Linked DNA regions of Neurospora crassa OR74A. The main gene of each other region encodes a partner of the protein of the gene in region 3 in a complex. Links are inferred from orthologs where the notes say so. Each region holds a gene or a part of one and is shown on either strand. Other genes may lie near its edges.

Region 1 (3,428 bases), on a different chromosome or scaffold from region 3:
GGCGATCGCAGTTTGCATATCTTCTTCTTGATGCTGCTGGCTGCGGTGGGAAACGCGGTGGCGACGGGCACGACCAAGGTGGGAGCACGGTTCTTTGCCATGTTCTTGATGCCCATGGGAGCAGTTTCTTCTTGTGAGTGGTTTTTTCGTTGCTTTATCGTAGTTCCTGGTGAAGGTGAGGACTAACAGACCCACAGACCAAATCATCCTGTCGTGGGTTGCCAACTCGTTCCCTCGTCCCATGGTCAAGCGCTCGGCTGCTGTGGCTATTGCCAACATGTTTGGAAACACAGCGAGTATTTACGGGTCATACATGTACCCGGCTTCGGCGGCGCCACAGTACATACCTGGAGGTAGTGCAAATTCTGTAATCTGCCTTTTTGTGGGATTGTTGGCGTTGTTCTTGCGCTACCTGCACAAATGGGAGAACAAGAAGCTGGAGAGGGCCGAGGCGGAAGAGGCTGAGAACCCAGAGACTGCGGCTGTTGCGGCGTCGGGTGATAGGAGAGCAGCGGGATTCAGGTACATCTATTAAGCTGGATATCATTAGCTAGTCTCGCGATGAATAGTGATTACTTATCCATCTATATTTCTTGCCGTATTGTAGCTCTCCGTCGTGATATCCCCCTGCCGTAGGAAGAAAGGGGCATAATATAAAAGGTGGAAATGAGGAGTTGGTAACTTCAGTCGAAGAAGGTAAAATTTGATCGATTGCCCAAACGCCAGATGCTTAAACTCCGAACCATAGATGCAGACAAAACAACACCGAGTAGCTTTTTGCTTTTGAGTCTCAACAACAACAACCCTATCCCATCAGTTCTACACCATTCCGTATCGCACCCACTACCGCACCAGTCTGGATCACCTCTCCGGCTCCGCTCGCTACCCGATGCTCAATCTTGGCAAGTTCATCAAGCCATGTGATCATGACCTGCGGCTTGACTTCCAGCTTGACGATCTCTTCCGACAGAGCGGTGATAATGTCGGCAAGGGCCAAACCTTGTGCAACCTTGAGGGTGTTGATAGTCGACAGACAGGTTGTGACGTCGCTCGTGCTCAAAAGTGTGCTGAGAATCTTTTTGATGGCGTCGGGTGGTGGGGCGGCAACGCAGTCGTAGATGGTTCGAATGGTGATGGTTTCCCGTACAATGTCCTTTTCGGCGATCTTGGGGGCGTTCTTTGGTTGGAGTGGTGTGCCTGGTTGACCTGGGTTAGCTTGAGGCCCGCAACAGAAGGCGAGACGAGGACACCACCACTTACTTGACGCGTGGCAAGCCTGGAGCACGTTTAGTGCCCGACGCATATCACCCTTGCTCAACCGCACCAGCGCATCGGTAGCATCTGGCAGAATCTTGACGTTTTCCTCGTCAATGACCTTGTCCACCAAGACACGAATATCTTTTTCTTTTAGAGGGCTGAAACGGAACCGTGTGCATCTCGACAGGAGGGCTGGGCTGAGCTTGTGGGAGTAGTTGGCAATGATGCAGAAGCGAGTGTTGGCCGTGTACTTTTCCATGATGCGACGGAGGGCCATCTGCGCTGTGGACGTCATAGCATCGGCCTCGTCGAGAATAATAAGCTTGAAACCAGCCAGCCCCGAGCGCGAAGAGGAGGAGCCGAGGGAGAAGATCTGCTTGGTGGAGGCAAAGGTCTTGATTTGCTCGCGCACAACGTCGATACCACGGTCATCGGAAGCGTTCAACTCGAGCACCATCTGGCGCATGTTGGCGGCGCCATAGATTTGTCGGGCCAGGGCGAGAACGGTCGATGTTTTTCCGGTACCGGGGGGACCGTAGAATAGGAGATGGGGGAGTCGGTTCGTGTCGACAAACTTGTTGATGGTTGCGAGAATGTCTTGTTGGCCAGACACATCGGAGAGGGATACGGGGCGGTACTTCTCGACCCTGTCACAGGCTGGTTAGATATTTGATAGGCATATGAAGACATATGGGGGGCAATATCTACCATGGGAGACTGTCTTCTGCTTCAACAGGCAGGTTGGCAGCGCTTCGCTTGCCCTTGGCCGTGTTGGTGGCAGCGAACATGACGTCCTTGGACACTGGGACATCAATGTCCATTTCGTCTTCAAAGTCCGACATGGTGGTAGAATTGGGCTGGGTCGCTGATGTCGAGGCTGATGTGATCTGAAGTCTACTCTGGAGGTTTTGCGCCGACGTGAACTTTATGGTTGGGTGGTGTTTTTTACTTGGTGAGGCCGGGAAAGTGAAGCTGGGAAAACGCGTCGAGAGGAAGGACAGACGCGTCGGGCAACAGGCCCCTCGTGTGGCTGGTTAATTGGTTTTGGGCGCTGAGCCACACACGGTTAGTGGAGTATTGGTACCCCAGCCACAGTTTAATGAAGCTCAACTGTTCTTCCACTCATTCATCCATGGTCTCTGTTTGAAAACTTCAACTTTACAACCTCAAAGGCTCACCCTCACTTCACTCTCCTTGTTCTCTAGGATGGAATCTCTTCACATGTGGACATCCTCTTCTCTTAGTGAACTAAGTTTACTGCTCTCTTTCCAATGAAATTGAACCACCAATCACATCAACGTTCCCACTCCAGTTCTGGGTCGGGACGCCAATATTGAGGATGCCCGACCAAGTGACTCCTTTGGCTACCAGCCTCATCACTCCGTCTCATCCCAACTCAAACCTCTCCCACTTATCTTCAACTCGATCCCAGGTATCTCTGTACATTCGGCCCACACCCGCACGCTCAATGCGAACCCGACCATCCGTCCTTGGATCATCCTTTCGTTCGATCATCATGACGTTGACCACGGCTCTCTTCTCGGCTGTTGCCGCTTGCACCAGTTCCTCTTGCTCGAACTTGTCTGCGTCTGAAAGAAGAATGAACTCGTGTGTACCCTTCGAAATAAGACTCAACCGTTGTTCAACGAACTTTCTTCGGTGGGACCACGACAACCATATGGATCCAATCCACTCGTGATCACCTCCCTCAGGATGTGTCGCATGTGTGATGGCATACCGCGTCAACCGTGTTGGCCGGACCCGAGGTAGTGGAGGGACCGCATCCTCATTGCCTCGGTCCTCAATCATGAGTCTGAACCGAGCGACGCGAGCCTTCAGGTGTAAAAAGTAGGGGTCCGGGCCAAGGCTGATTTCTGCTTGATATCGACCAGTGCTGTTGGCCGAAAAGTCAGCACCCGAGTCGTAGTAGACTGGTATAGTCCACCCGGCCCATGCCCAACTTGGCCACAGGGGTCTTTCTGTCTTCTCATCCATATGGATTCTCTTCGGCTCCCGTCGTGGTCGCCAAAGAAGCCCTGGATGCAGGAGCTCCCCCGTGGGCATCCCGTGCACAAACTCGACATTCTGAGAAAAGAAATGATCTTTGATCACGTTCAAGATACCTTGGATTCCATTCACGCGGTCGGTTATGAATGTCATATTGCGACATG
Region 2 (3,479 bases), on a different chromosome or scaffold from region 3:
GTAGAGGTCGAAAGATATCTACCCAGCAGCAGCCGTCTAGGAGGACACACTCTGTTGACCCTCATCGCCGGGAGCCTGCTGCCGAGAGGGGACGCAACGGTGGGGCTAGGGTCAACGGGAGGTATTATCCTCTGGATTTGTTGTCGCCTGTTTCTGTGTGAAAGAAAAATATTAGTGTTGGGCATCTCGAAGAACTTACAGATTGCGATAATCTCCTTTTCTTTTTTCGGATGTGTTGTGAATGAGATTGACATGTTGAAATTGTGTCGATGAACGACTTCTTCTGTTACTCTTCTTGAATGGAGATTTTTGAGGGTTTGGACGGGTCTGGAAAATATTTACACACTGTACCGGGCAACCGGGTTGGCTATATAAATTGGAAAGTAAAAGATTCAATGACGGCACCAAAAGTTCACATGCCATGTTCCATATACCTACTACCTTTTTCTGGGTAAATTGCACATCTCACGAGGAACGACGCATCCGGATATTATCCACTCAATGGAATCCTCTACACTTCATGCTCCGCTGCCGGCTACACCGCAAATGCTACATGCTAACCATCTATACTCCTTTCTCTGTAGTGCAGTATGCTATGCCAGTTGACTAAACATCAAAACCAACGCCGAGTAAACAATTCAATTCATAGCTTTCGCTCGGGTATTATCTTTTATGAACCTCATTATTCCTGCCCCAGGATCACCCCCTTCGCAATTTTGTTTTTCTTTTCTTCGCGAAGCCCCCCCTTATTCACTTCTTCGGTACCGCAAACTTCTTCGGATCCATGTTCAACTTACATAACCTCGCCACGCACCCGCTCAACTGCAACAGTGTCTGGACGCCCTCCAAAATCTTCATATGCGTAAACCCAATCTCCTTGATAAACTCGAGCTTAGCGTGCTCGCTCAGCGTCGGAATCGTCTTTGTGACCTTGAACATGGTGCTGATAATATCATGACTGGAATACCCCAGGTCCCACAGCTCCCGCAGCCCGTCCAGAGCCGCATCAACATTACCCTCGTAGCAGGCCTTGAGCATCGCCTGCACCTTGATCGGGTGCGGGCTATCCACAACTTTAAAGACATTATCCCCGCTCACGAAGCCGAAGCCGGCGTGTGTAGATTGCAGGTTATTAATCGCCTGCCGCATGTCTCCCTCGGCGCTGAAGACCAGCGCGGCCAGGCCGTCGTCGCTGTACTCGACTTTTTCGGCTTCGATGATTTGCAGCAGGCGTTTGACGACTTGCGCGTCGGTGAGCTTGGCGAAGCGCAGGATTGCGCAGCGGGATTGCAGAGGTTCGATGATCTTGTTGGATTGGTTGCAGGCGAAGGCAAAGCGCGTGGTGTTGGAGTAGATTTCCATTGTGCGGCGAAGCGCTTGTTGGGCGCCCGAGGTCATGCTGTCGGCTTCGTCGAGGATTACGATCTTGTGCCGACCTGGGGGGAGGGTGACTTTCTTCTGGGCGAAGCCTTTAATGCGCTGGCGGACTACTTCAATGCCTGTTTGTTTTTTTGGGTTGGTATGTCAGTATGGGGGGGTTTTTGTGTTGTTTGGCGTAGCTCATAGCCACAGAGCTGGATGCTCTTGTCCTTTTCTAACCTCGCTCGTCACTGGCATTCAACTCCAGTACCGCCTCCTTGTACGCATCACCTAGTAATTGCCTTGCCAGACACAAAACACTCGTCGTCTTGCCGATACCAGGCATGCCTGAAATAATAAAATGGGGCATGTTGCCCTCCTTTGCGATAATCTTGAGGCGCTCGATCGTTTCTGTGTTGCCGACCACATCGTCAAGGAAAACTGGTCTGTACTTTTCTACCCTGTTCGTAACTGCTGGTCAGCCTGATGCCCTATGGAGATCGAGAGTTCATTGAATCCTGATTAGACTCACCATGGTAGCTCGTAGGTCGGGGAAGAGCTTGCGGAGACCGAGGTTGCAGCCTTGGAGATGGAGGTTGAGGACTCGCCCCTCTCTTCTGCTTTGGCTGATGGCATTCTGGGTGGACAATAATCGAAGTTTTCTTGTGCGGATGGCCTGTTTCAAACCCCCAGATTTCTAAGTATTGCGATCCTCGATGTGTTGTTTGTTGGTTTACGATTTCTGAGCTGTCTGGAGGAAAAGGTCAGTGGAGCGGCGCGACGCGTCGCGTTTATCGATTTTAAGTGGTTTTGCATGGGTCTGGCCGAGATCGTCATACCCTAACCCTAGGAGTGCTTCTAGCAAACTCTCAGTGTCCGACCTTGTTCGTTTGTCTTGATGGGATAAAAAAAACCAAAGAAAAAAAAAATCCAAAAAAAATCGTGATGGCTCCTTCGGACTTGGAGGTTTTGAAACTCTTATTAGACTAAGCTTCTGTTCAAGCCAGCGTTGAGAAGAGCTTAGTCTGACGTTGCCACAAACATCTATCCAGAGGCCTTTGGCAGCACATCCCTTCGAGTAACTCGACAAATGTGCGTGCTTTCCCATTACAGGATTCGCTACCTCCATGCTTAAGTTGCGCAAACCACCCTCAAAGTGTATTACGGAGCGTAGTTAGATCCGAAATGTGTGGTCGGGGTGGCGGGCGACGTGTGCATATCATGGAAGAGTACGAAATAAAGAAGGGGAGGGCACAGAGTATGGCATAAATGAGCTTTTTCTATCCTGTCTACCTCCGGGTATCCTCCCCAAGTACCAGTAACGCCTTATCAGTGATTTCTTACGTGCGGTAGTCTCCATTAATGGTACTATTCAGATCTTATGTCAGCAGTCGTCACCCAAACTCGAATGAGGGCGGATCAACTTACATGTACTCGTGGCTGTAGTCGCAAGTCCAGTAGGTAGCCTGCTTGTCACCAGTTCCGAGTCTGACAAGGATCTCAAGGTCCTCAAGCTCGAGGATCTCAGCAGCACGAGCCTCATCAACCTGCTCGGGTTCGCCGTTGACGAGCAACTTCAGCTCAGCAGTGCCGTCAGTGGGGATGAAAGAAACATTGGTCTTTTCAGGGACAACCTCAGAAACATCGTTGACGGGAAGGCCGGGCTCAGAAACAAGGGAGTAACCAGTAGCGCAGAGGATACGGCCCCTAATGACAACGTCAGTAGCTGCCGAAACGCATGGGATAATTTTCCGCAACTTACCAGTTGGCATCCTTGCCGTAGAGAGCAGTCTTCACCAGGGGAGAACGGGCAATGGTGCTGGCAATTTTCCTAGCGGCCTCCTCGCTAGCAGCTTCGACAACGCGGATAGTAACAAACTTGGTGGCACCCTCGCCATCACGGACGATCAGCTTGGCAAGGTCGGTAGAGAAATCGGTCAGGACAGTCTGGAAGGCATCGTAGTCGGGAGTGTTGGCAACGACTTCCTTTCCGCCAGCAGCACCATTGGCAAGCAGGGCAACGGTGTCGTTGGTGGAAGTGTCGCCATCGATCGTGATGCTGTTGAACGAACGGTCGACGGCGTGCTTGAGAACGGCGGGTAGTACGGTGGAGGAAACGG
Region 3 (3,569 bases):
TCAATGACTCTTTTTTTTTTCCCCAGGAACCACCCATGCCCCGCCAAAAAGTTTCCTGCAGGGCGGGTTAGGGGCAACTTGAATGCGGAGTCCATTCAGCTGCTGGGCGCGCCCCGGGCCCTGGGCTGTTGTAGGCGGGAGGGGACGTCACGCAGGTGGTGGGTAGGTAAGTTACATACATTGAATGAACAATGTGGGGAAGCTGGTGAACACCAGGAACTTCATCGGATGAAAAAAAAAAAAAAAAAAAAAAAAAAAAAAAAAAAAAAAAAAAAAAAAAAAAAAAACAGTCGGGTGGAAGATTTCTGGAAAACACGCCGACTGACGGGAAGTGGTGATGTCAGTACTGGTGTACTTGTGATTGAACCCACTTCTGAGATACCTACTTTCAACGCCAAGCTGAACTCCCGAGAAGCGATGATTACCATAGTGATACAGGGAGGACAGTTTGCCGATATCAATGTTAGAAACCATCAGACAAAAAAAAAAAAAAAAAAAAAAAAAAAAAAGGAAACGACAACAGCATCGGGTTCCTTGGTGAAGGTGTGTTGTTGGAGGCCATCGCAATAATCATTGACACCTCGTCGTCTCCCCTAAACATTCATCTTCGCAGCAGAAAGAACAAAACGCCCTCTAAAACATTTGTGTGTAGTGTACTAGTGCCAGACTCTTTCAAAAACACAGATTTCTTTTTCTTCATATCCCTTTTCTTCTTCTCATCACTGCATCACCCCTTATCTTCTACATGACTTGCAATTCTCCTCCTCCCCATGATTTTATAGCAACTCGAGGTATACATGAAGGCATAGTTTCGTGGTGTTCGTAACAAAGATGTGGTTCGGTTGTTGGAGGTAAATGGGGCGTTTACTCCTCGTCGCCAATCTGTGAATCAGAACCAGTTAGCATCACGCCTGACAGAAAACAACCACCCAGAAAATGACAAACAAAGACATACCTTGGGCGCAAGATAGAACCTCAAGTAGCTGCTAGCCGAAATGTTGTACTCGACCAAAAGGGGCACCTCGTTGGAGAGGCAGATCTTGACCGTGCTCGACAGCGCGCTCGCCTTGCAAAAGTTGACCAGGTACTTGAGCGAGAACGTGAGGGAAACCGGCTCGCTCAACTCAATCTCGATATTCTCGCTGGGCTTATCAACGTTGGTGTGCTGGCGGAGGGTAATGCTGCCGTTGCCAATGTCGCCCTGGCAGCTAAACTTGACGCCGTCCTTGCTCGCCTCAATGTTGACGCTCTCGCTCATGGCCATGAGGTCGGTGGTGATGCGCTTAAACTCAGAAGACGGCATGCTGATGGTGGCCGCGTACTCGGTATCCGGAATGCCCAGGTGCTCCTGGTCAATGTCCATGAGCTTGAGGTCGTACTCGGAGATACGGTCGTTTTCGGAAGATTCGAAGACGAGGTTGAGCACGTCGGGCGCGTCCTCGGCCTTGAGCGTCAGGATGTCCTCGTTCTGGGCGGCGCGGAGCACCTTGGTCAGCGACGTCAGGTTGACGCCGAGCGCAATGTTGCGGTCGCACCGGAAGGGCGAGAAGGTCTCCGTCTTGAGCATCATGGACACGAGCGCGACGTGCGAGTTGTCCATGGCTTGCAGGGCGATGCCCGAGTCGTTGCAGTCGAAGTTGCAGTCCTGCACGAGGTCCTTGATGGCGTCGACGACCTGGACATCATCGTCATCATCATGACAGAGTTAGTGGGGGTCTTCTAGCTGGGAAAGGAAACAGACAGCACTTGACAGGAAGAGGACATGACATACCTTCTTCAGGATCGACGCCTGCTCCAACCGTGCTTCAAGCATTTCTGTTGTTGTGGTAGTCCTCCAGTCAGCAACCCATCACTCCAGTTCTCCAGCTTTTCTTCCTAGTGCCGGGCCAGCGAGCAAGCGAGCAGGCAGCTTCACGCTCAGACAGAGACGACATACTGATGGATGTGAATTACCGAACTCGACGGGGGAAAAAAAGACAAAGAGGGAAGAAAATATGCGCGCGCTGGGTATCACTTTCGGGAGAGAGAGGCGCTCGTGGTTTGACGAAGAAAGAAGAGAGAAGAAAAGATTTGGATTTGGGAAGAGTTATGGTTTTGTTCAAAAAGCTGCAACAGGCAGGCAATGGACGATAAAAAGAGAGGAACCACCAATACCACAGGTGGTGCCGGGACACCCACTTCGCGACTTGACGCGCCTGCTAATGGCAGCTAAACGCGCTGAGCCGGGGTTAGGCTTAATTGATTTACCGCTTCAGGCTAGCTCCCGGTGCACGGTCCCGTTCTCCAGCGCTGTTAGTCCGCTTTCAGGCGCAATCTTCGCGTTTTCAGTGGGAGCTGTCGCCCTGAATCCCCTCTTTCTGTTTGGATCGTGTCTCGACGGCAATGTCGAACCAAAGGTATGCTGCTCACTTCAAGTTCCGATGATATGACTTCAACTATTCGACTCCCTCATTTCTGCGCGAACTCTGTTCTACCTCCATTCTCCAATATATTTTGATTATTACATTATTTCACCTATCTTACACCCTCCCCCAACTCAAAAAAGAATTTGTTACAGAATGCCCGCCCAAGATCGTCTGTATAAACTGTGTAAACGCCGTTAAATTCTGTGTCCCACATTGCTCGCTTGCCTGCCCCAGCTTTCAAATGTTCCCATGGTCTGTATGTCCGTCAAAACGCCATTCTACCCAAAGTTGTTGTTGTTGTTGCTGTTGTTGCTTTTCAAGAAAACTGGCAAGCTGACCTTCTCGTCGTTGTTGTTCGCCCCTCTCTTTTGTCTGCGCGCAATGCCTTGATGCCATGTAAGATTATAGTGGTCAAAGAAAAGAAACCCGAAAGAAAGACAGCGCGAATGCCGCAGAGTTTGTCTGTCGTCATAAAGAAATCCTCGTCGGCGCCGCACTCCTGCCGTTTCCCCCGCCTGGTCCCATGGTTGTATGTCTCTTCGGCCTCAGATTAATCACCATCTCCAACTCCTTCAACATGCCCCTACTCGCTTCCGCCTTCTCTCTCTGCATTGCCCTCATCTCTCTCTCCTCTTTCATTTTCACCAATCTCTCTTCCCTGGTCAGCATACTCCTGGGCCGAGCCGATAGCGCAACCGCCTCAAACACATCCGGCTCGTTGGGACTTGGCGAGGAGTTTCGTGTGGGAGACGTCTCCCCGGTGAGCGCTTTCAGCGCATCCTCCGCTCCGCCGCCGGTTTCGTTCTCTTCGCCGACAGTGGTCAACCCGCTTAGAGAGGTAGCAGGCGAGTACAGCATGCTCATAGACGAAATACGTTTCTCGTTGCGGTCGATTCCCGATGCTAGGGCAGCCTTGCCATCCTCCCAGGCTTGCTGCAGCATCTTGAGGTCTTGGCCAATGGACTCGTATTGCGACAGGAGGTCGAAACCAACTTCAGAGATGTCGTCGGCTTCGTTGAGTGCTTTCTCGGATTCTTCACGCAATAGTGCCAGCTTGGCTTGGAGACCGCGGATGCCCGTCGATAGAGAGTCGAGCTTGCGGAATTGCGTTCGGCGTTTCTCGCGGTTGGGCGAAAGAGGGAACTTGGTTTCGGGGATAGCGGG
Region 4 (4,198 bases), on a different chromosome or scaffold from region 3:
CTGCGCTCTCTCGCCGTCGTACTTGTACTCGCACGTGAACGTCTGGCCCTCGAAGCGATCGAGCACCTCGGTGATGGCCTTGGTTGGGTTAGCCAGCATGGGCTTGAGTGGCACGCCCGGGCGAAGCTTGCAGTGCTCGCGGAGGTTCATGATGCCGTGCTGGAGCATGGCGGGGATGATGACGTCGTAGCTGGGCAACTCGCTGTAGACAGTCTTGAGGATCGACTCGGCTTTGCTAAAGTCGGATTCGCTGGGGATTTTCCCCTTTTGGGCGAACTCGTGTGCAATCATGGCTTGCGCCAGGGAGACAATGACGGACTTCTCTGCTAGCCCCAACCGCAACTTACCCTCTAGGAACCGGACGATGAACTTGGCCTCGCTGGGCCCGCCCTTGTCCTTGGTGATGTCCACCTTGCCAGTCGAATTTGCGTCCGCAGCAGACAAAAGCTTCTTGATACCATCCACCTTCTTCTGCTGGGCACCTGTGCCCGTCATAGTCGTAGCGATATCCATCAACCCTTTATGCACACCGCGAATGGTCAACGGCTTGGGCTTGAACATGGTCGGCTGCTTTGACCTCGACTTGACAGCCACCAGCCCCAGATCACCAATTTCCTTCTGGTCGTTCTTGACAACAGCGATGCTACGGCCCGTAGTCTCGCCGATAGCCTTCATGATGAGCGACTCGCCAATACCCAGCTCGATACCTGCATAATCCGGCGCAAGCTTGTTGATCATGAGCAGGACGGTAGGCAGCAGATCGTCGGGCGTAAGACGGAGGACTTGGCGCAGGAAAAGAGAGCAGTACTCCATGATGAGTAGTCTCTTCCGCGTCTGCTCAATGAGCGAAAACGTCGTGCAGAGGGCGGCATAAGGAACAGGTTCGCCGGCCTTCCAGTCCGGGTAGGGGTCCTTGACCTTGGTTGCGAGTGTGGTCTGGATGACCTTGCGGGCCTCTTTGGCAACTGCTTCGGTCTTTTCGTCCTCGTCTTCCTCTTCGGCTTCGATTTCGGATGCGGATGCTGAGGATGCCTCCGCATCATTTGCCTTTTCTACCGGTGCGGGAGAGGAACTTTTCTTTTTTAGTGCCGGCTTGGGTGATGCTGCTTTTTTGCTCTTCTCCTCCTTCACCGGCGCAGAAGACGCGGGAACATCTTCCATGGTTTCGTCCTCGTCGTCTTCAACCACCTTGCGACTTCTCCTCGACCGCTTGCTGGCAGGCGCAACATCCTCCGAGTCCTCCTCGGTCTTGGCCTTTTTCGATTTAGGGCTTTTGGTCGTCGGTGACCGTGACCTTTTCTTCTTGTTGCCTGCTTCGTGTCCCAGTCGTTAGTCACCATGCCACCAACGTCACGTTCAAGGACGTAACTCACCTGTCTCCTCCTTCACCTCCTCCACGACCTCCATCACATCCTCGTCCTCCTCTGCGCTGCTTTTCTCCTTAGCTACCTCCTTAGCAACTTCCTTCCCCTTAGCCGGCCTTCCCCTCCCCCTCCCCGTCTTGGCAGGACTCTTATCCTTGATCTTCATCTCCTCCACCTTCTTCTCTACCTCTTCATGCCCCCCATCTTCGCCGGCAATCTCGTCCTTTTTGGGTTCTTCCTTCGTCTTCGATGATGTTGTCGACGTCGCTTTCGTGCCAAAAGACAATTTTGTCTGCTGTTTCCCGCCCGCCGGGGCGTCTGCCTTGCCGAAGAACTTGCTGCAATGGGTTTTGTCATCTCGTTAGCCTCTTGTTCTGCCAGTACTTCAGTAGGGGAAGGGAAGGGAAAAGGGATAGACTAGACTCCAAAAAATGGTGATAGTAAAGTGTGTAAACCGGAAATCGAACAATGTGTCTCTCTCCAGAATTGGAGGTTTCAAAATCGTCTTTTCAAAAATTGTTTTCGATATTTGTCTCCAAAAAAACAAAACGAAAATGGTTTCCAAAAACGTTTTGCGATCAATCATTCGATCCGTTACGCACTCAACTACTAACCCCAACGTAGTCTGCCTCCCTCCCCTCGGTTTATCTTTAACGTACCCCAACGTTTGCTGCTGCTTGGGAGGCATTTTTGTGCCGGTATCTCTGGGGTTGTTGTTCGTGATGTTGTTGATGTTATGTATAGCGTAACTAGCGTAATTTCTTCGTCCTCCTCCTAGTCGTGTAAGCCCAGCAAGTCCAACTGCTGATAACAAGTTCGCTCCTCCGCCCGGTGAGGTTGTCGAAGCCGAGTTCGAGTTGAGACTTAGTCGACCAAGTGATGATCCGAGGAGGCCAAGTTGAGAAGAGGGAAATTGATTTGTCTTTGTCTTTGCGATTCTCGCCCGAGTTTTGTTCGTCGCCAACCCAATCGCCGCAAAATTCGTCGCAGTCGAAGTCGAAGTCGCAGTCGGTAGTACCGCAGAAGCTGGAGCTCCCTTGCTTCTAACAAGCAGTGGGAGAAATCGTCTGGGCGCCAGGATTGTCGAACTTTTCTTTCTTTCCTCCCACGACGGATCGTTCGTCCTTTTATACCAACAAATACCTAGGTAGTCTTCCAATCCAGTAACCTGGTTACCAACAATACCAATTGAGAAAAATAGGGCCTGCTGCTGCTGCTGCTGCTGCCTGTTTCTGCCTGGTATTGAGTCGCAGTCGGCGCGCTTTCCCTTAGGTTATGGAGTTCCCTGCTGCCGTCGTCGTGTACTAGGTATGTAGTAGTGTACCGAGTGTTGTCCCTACTTACTTACGCCGCGCGCTAAACCTTTTATGACGTGACGCGCCTTTCTGTCCATGGTTCCTTAACGCGATCCCTGCTACCTTTCCCGCTAACAAAAAGTCCAGGCAACCGTCGCGTAAAGTGGCACGGTCACATGAGACGCATTTCCCTACATTACCTAGTGTAGTATTTGCTTAAGGCTCTGTGCTTCGTTGTACATACACTAAAGCAATAGTCCCTACTATTGTGCGCACGGGTGACAGCAGTCAGGGACCCCTTGCTGTGCGGGCGAAATTTGGGGTAGCGCCTACCGTCGCAACGTAAGCGCCAAGCACCGCCCATCAATTTGATCTCCAAATCTCCAACAGCTCAAAAATGTTGGGCTGAGAACCCGATTTGATACGACAGACAGGGCTGGCAATTCGAGGCTGGGCAGGGAGGGGCAGGCTGCGATACGATATCGGACCTCATCTCACAAGCCCAGTCATTCAGCTGTTGCATCATAACAAGACAGCTATCTTGAAAGCTTATCAATTTCATAACCCGCCTTCCCTTTCCCCATCCCTTTCCCCTAAAACCTGTCTAGATATATATATATATATATGTGTTTGTGTGTGTGGTTGTGTTTGTGACTGTTTTGCGCTACGCAGAAATGTTTTATTATACAAGGAAAATGGAAAGAAGAAGTGACGACCGTCCATGATGGCCGACGTAGATAAAAGACGCCAGCACCATTTTTGGTTTTGTGATATGCATCAGAGGAAAGGACAAGTTTCTTGGTTGTAACTTGAAAAAACCCATCTAGTTTGTCATTACTTCTGCCTCTCTACTCAATTTTAACTTTTTTAGTGCTTGAAGTAGAAAAGCTCATCAGGGGTACGGCCACGGATGAAGTCGGGCTCGGTACCCTTGACGTAGATGTCCTCAAACAGAATCTGCTGGTTGGCCTCCGGAGGAGGCATGGCCTCGGCGGCGGCAACCTCCTCGTTGACGTAGGCGCGAGCCTCCTTGTCGAGGTTCTTGAGCTCCTCCTCCGAGGCAACACCCCACTCGAGAATGTGCTGCTTGAGGCCGGCAATAGGGTCGTTGGTGGAGCGCATGCGCTGGATCTCCTCACGGGTACGGTAGGTGGTGCCGGGGTCGGACATGGAGTGACCACCATAGCGGTAGGTGACGTACTCGAGCACGAGAGGGCCGTTGTCGTTGTTGGTCCACTGCTTACCGTACGCGACGGCAGCCTTGACGGCAAGGACGTCCATGCCGTTGACCTTGAGACCGGGGATGTACTGGCCACGCTTGTAGTAGTCGGTCAAGGCCGACGAGCGGGCGGCAGAGGTACCCATACCATACTTGTTGTCTGCACCATCATACATGTCAGTAAGAGTATCTAAGACCATGAAACCTGGGCTACTTACTCTCGCAGCCGAAAAGGGCAGGGAGGTTCCAGAGCTTGGCCATGTTGAAAGACTCAAAGACCTGACCCTGGTTGCTGGCACCATCACCTATAACAATGTATT

The links.
Region 1: the proteins of pcn (region 3) and NCU08427 are in contact, whole or in part, in a crystal structure (PDB 1SXJ), measured with the Saccharomyces cerevisiae proteins. The link is inferred for Neurospora crassa OR74A from reciprocal best matches to the Saccharomyces cerevisiae genes POL30 and RFC3. Residues at the interface, in NP_009645.1 of Saccharomyces cerevisiae: Val40, Asp42, Ser43, Arg44, Val45, Leu46, Phe125, Lys127, Glu129, Lys210, Tyr211, Glu232, Pro234, Ala251, Pro252, Lys253, Phe254, Asn255; in NP_014109.1 of Saccharomyces cerevisiae: Lys73, Asn74, Ser76, Asn77, Asn95, Gln96, Asp99, Phe100, Ala101, Ser102, Thr103, Arg104, Gln105, Ile106, Phe107, Lys109, Lys112, Asn140.
Region 2: the proteins of pcn (region 3) and NCU10467 are in contact, whole or in part, in a crystal structure (PDB 1SXJ), measured with the Saccharomyces cerevisiae proteins. The link is inferred for Neurospora crassa OR74A from reciprocal best matches to the Saccharomyces cerevisiae genes POL30 and RFC4. Residues at the interface, in NP_009645.1 of Saccharomyces cerevisiae: Leu25, Asp71, Ser74, Thr95, Pro96, Asp97, Lys117, Leu118, Met119, Asp120; in NP_014547.1 of Saccharomyces cerevisiae: His95, Gln98, Lys99, Lys100, Leu101, His102.
Region 4: the proteins of pcn (region 3) and NCU06481 are in contact, whole or in part, in a crystal structure (PDB 2OD8), measured with the Saccharomyces cerevisiae proteins. The link is inferred for Neurospora crassa OR74A from reciprocal best matches to the Saccharomyces cerevisiae genes POL30 and CDC9. Residues at the interface, in NP_009645.1 of Saccharomyces cerevisiae: Ser43, Arg44, Val45, Leu46, Leu47, Leu126, Ile128, Thr206, Gly208, Tyr211, Glu232, Ala233, Pro234, Phe249, Leu250, Ala251, Pro252, Lys253, Phe254, Asn255; in NP_010117.1 of Saccharomyces cerevisiae: Pro36, Lys37, Gln38, Ala39, Thr40, Leu41, Ala42, Phe44, Phe45.

Annotation. Positions count from the first base shown.
Region 1 is NC_026502.1:4,032,089-4,035,516, reverse strand, and holds NCU08427 (activator 1 subunit 3), read right to left. Parts: upstream 2,231-3,428; 5' UTR 2,100-2,230; coding exon 1,966-2,099; intron 1,905-1,965; coding exon 1,261-1,904; intron 1,198-1,260; coding exon 806-1,197; 3' UTR 536-805; downstream 1-535. Other genes in the region: NCU08428 (MFS transporter), read left to right, coding at 1-133, 198-535; NCU10392 (hypothetical protein), read right to left, coding at 2,644-3,428. UniProt on the Saccharomyces cerevisiae protein: Component of ATP-dependent clamp loader (RFC and RFC-like) complexes for DNA clamps, such as the POL30/PCNA homotrimer and the checkpoint clamp DDC1:MEC3:RAD17 complex.
Region 2 is NC_026505.1:3,556,592-3,560,070, forward strand, and holds NCU10467 (replication factor C subunit 4), read right to left. Parts: upstream 2,105-3,479; 5' UTR 1,996-2,104; coding exon 1,892-1,995; intron 1,821-1,891; coding exon 1,600-1,820; intron 1,500-1,599; coding exon 751-1,499; 3' UTR 512-750; downstream 1-511. Other genes in the region: NCU01294 (hydrolase), read left to right, coding at 1-161; arg-4 (arginine biosynthesis argJ), read right to left, coding at 2,700-2,727, 2,788-3,066, 3,122-3,479. UniProt on the Saccharomyces cerevisiae protein: Component of ATP-dependent clamp loader (RFC and RFC-like) complexes for DNA clamps, such as the POL30/PCNA homotrimer and the checkpoint clamp DDC1:MEC3:RAD17 complex.
Region 3 is NC_026501.1:9,446,998-9,450,566, reverse strand, and holds pcn (proliferating cell nuclear antigen), read right to left. Parts: upstream 2,173-3,569; 5' UTR 1,937-2,172; intron 1,816-1,936; 5' UTR 1,814-1,815; coding exon 1,772-1,813; intron 1,676-1,771; coding exon 956-1,675; intron 883-955; coding exon 865-882; 3' UTR 510-864; downstream 1-509. Other genes in the region: NCU09240 (hypothetical protein), read right to left, coding at 2,874-3,569. UniProt on the Saccharomyces cerevisiae protein: This protein is an auxiliary protein of DNA polymerase delta and is involved in the control of eukaryotic DNA replication by increasing the polymerase's processibility during elongation of the leading strand. Involved in DNA repair.
Region 4 is NC_026503.1:1,560,127-1,564,324, forward strand, and holds the start of NCU06481 (DNA ligase), read right to left. Parts: upstream 2,812-4,198; 5' UTR 2,053-2,811; coding exon 2,024-2,052; intron 1,703-2,023; coding exon 1,374-1,702; intron 1,311-1,373; coding exon 1-1,310. Other genes in the region: ace-2 (pyruvate dehydrogenase E1 component alpha subunit), read right to left, coding at 3,527-4,038, 4,097-4,183. UniProt on the Saccharomyces cerevisiae protein: DNA ligase that seals nicks in double-stranded DNA during DNA replication, DNA recombination and DNA repair. The mitochondrial form is required for mitochondrial DNA maintenance but is non-essential while the nuclear form is essential for cell viability.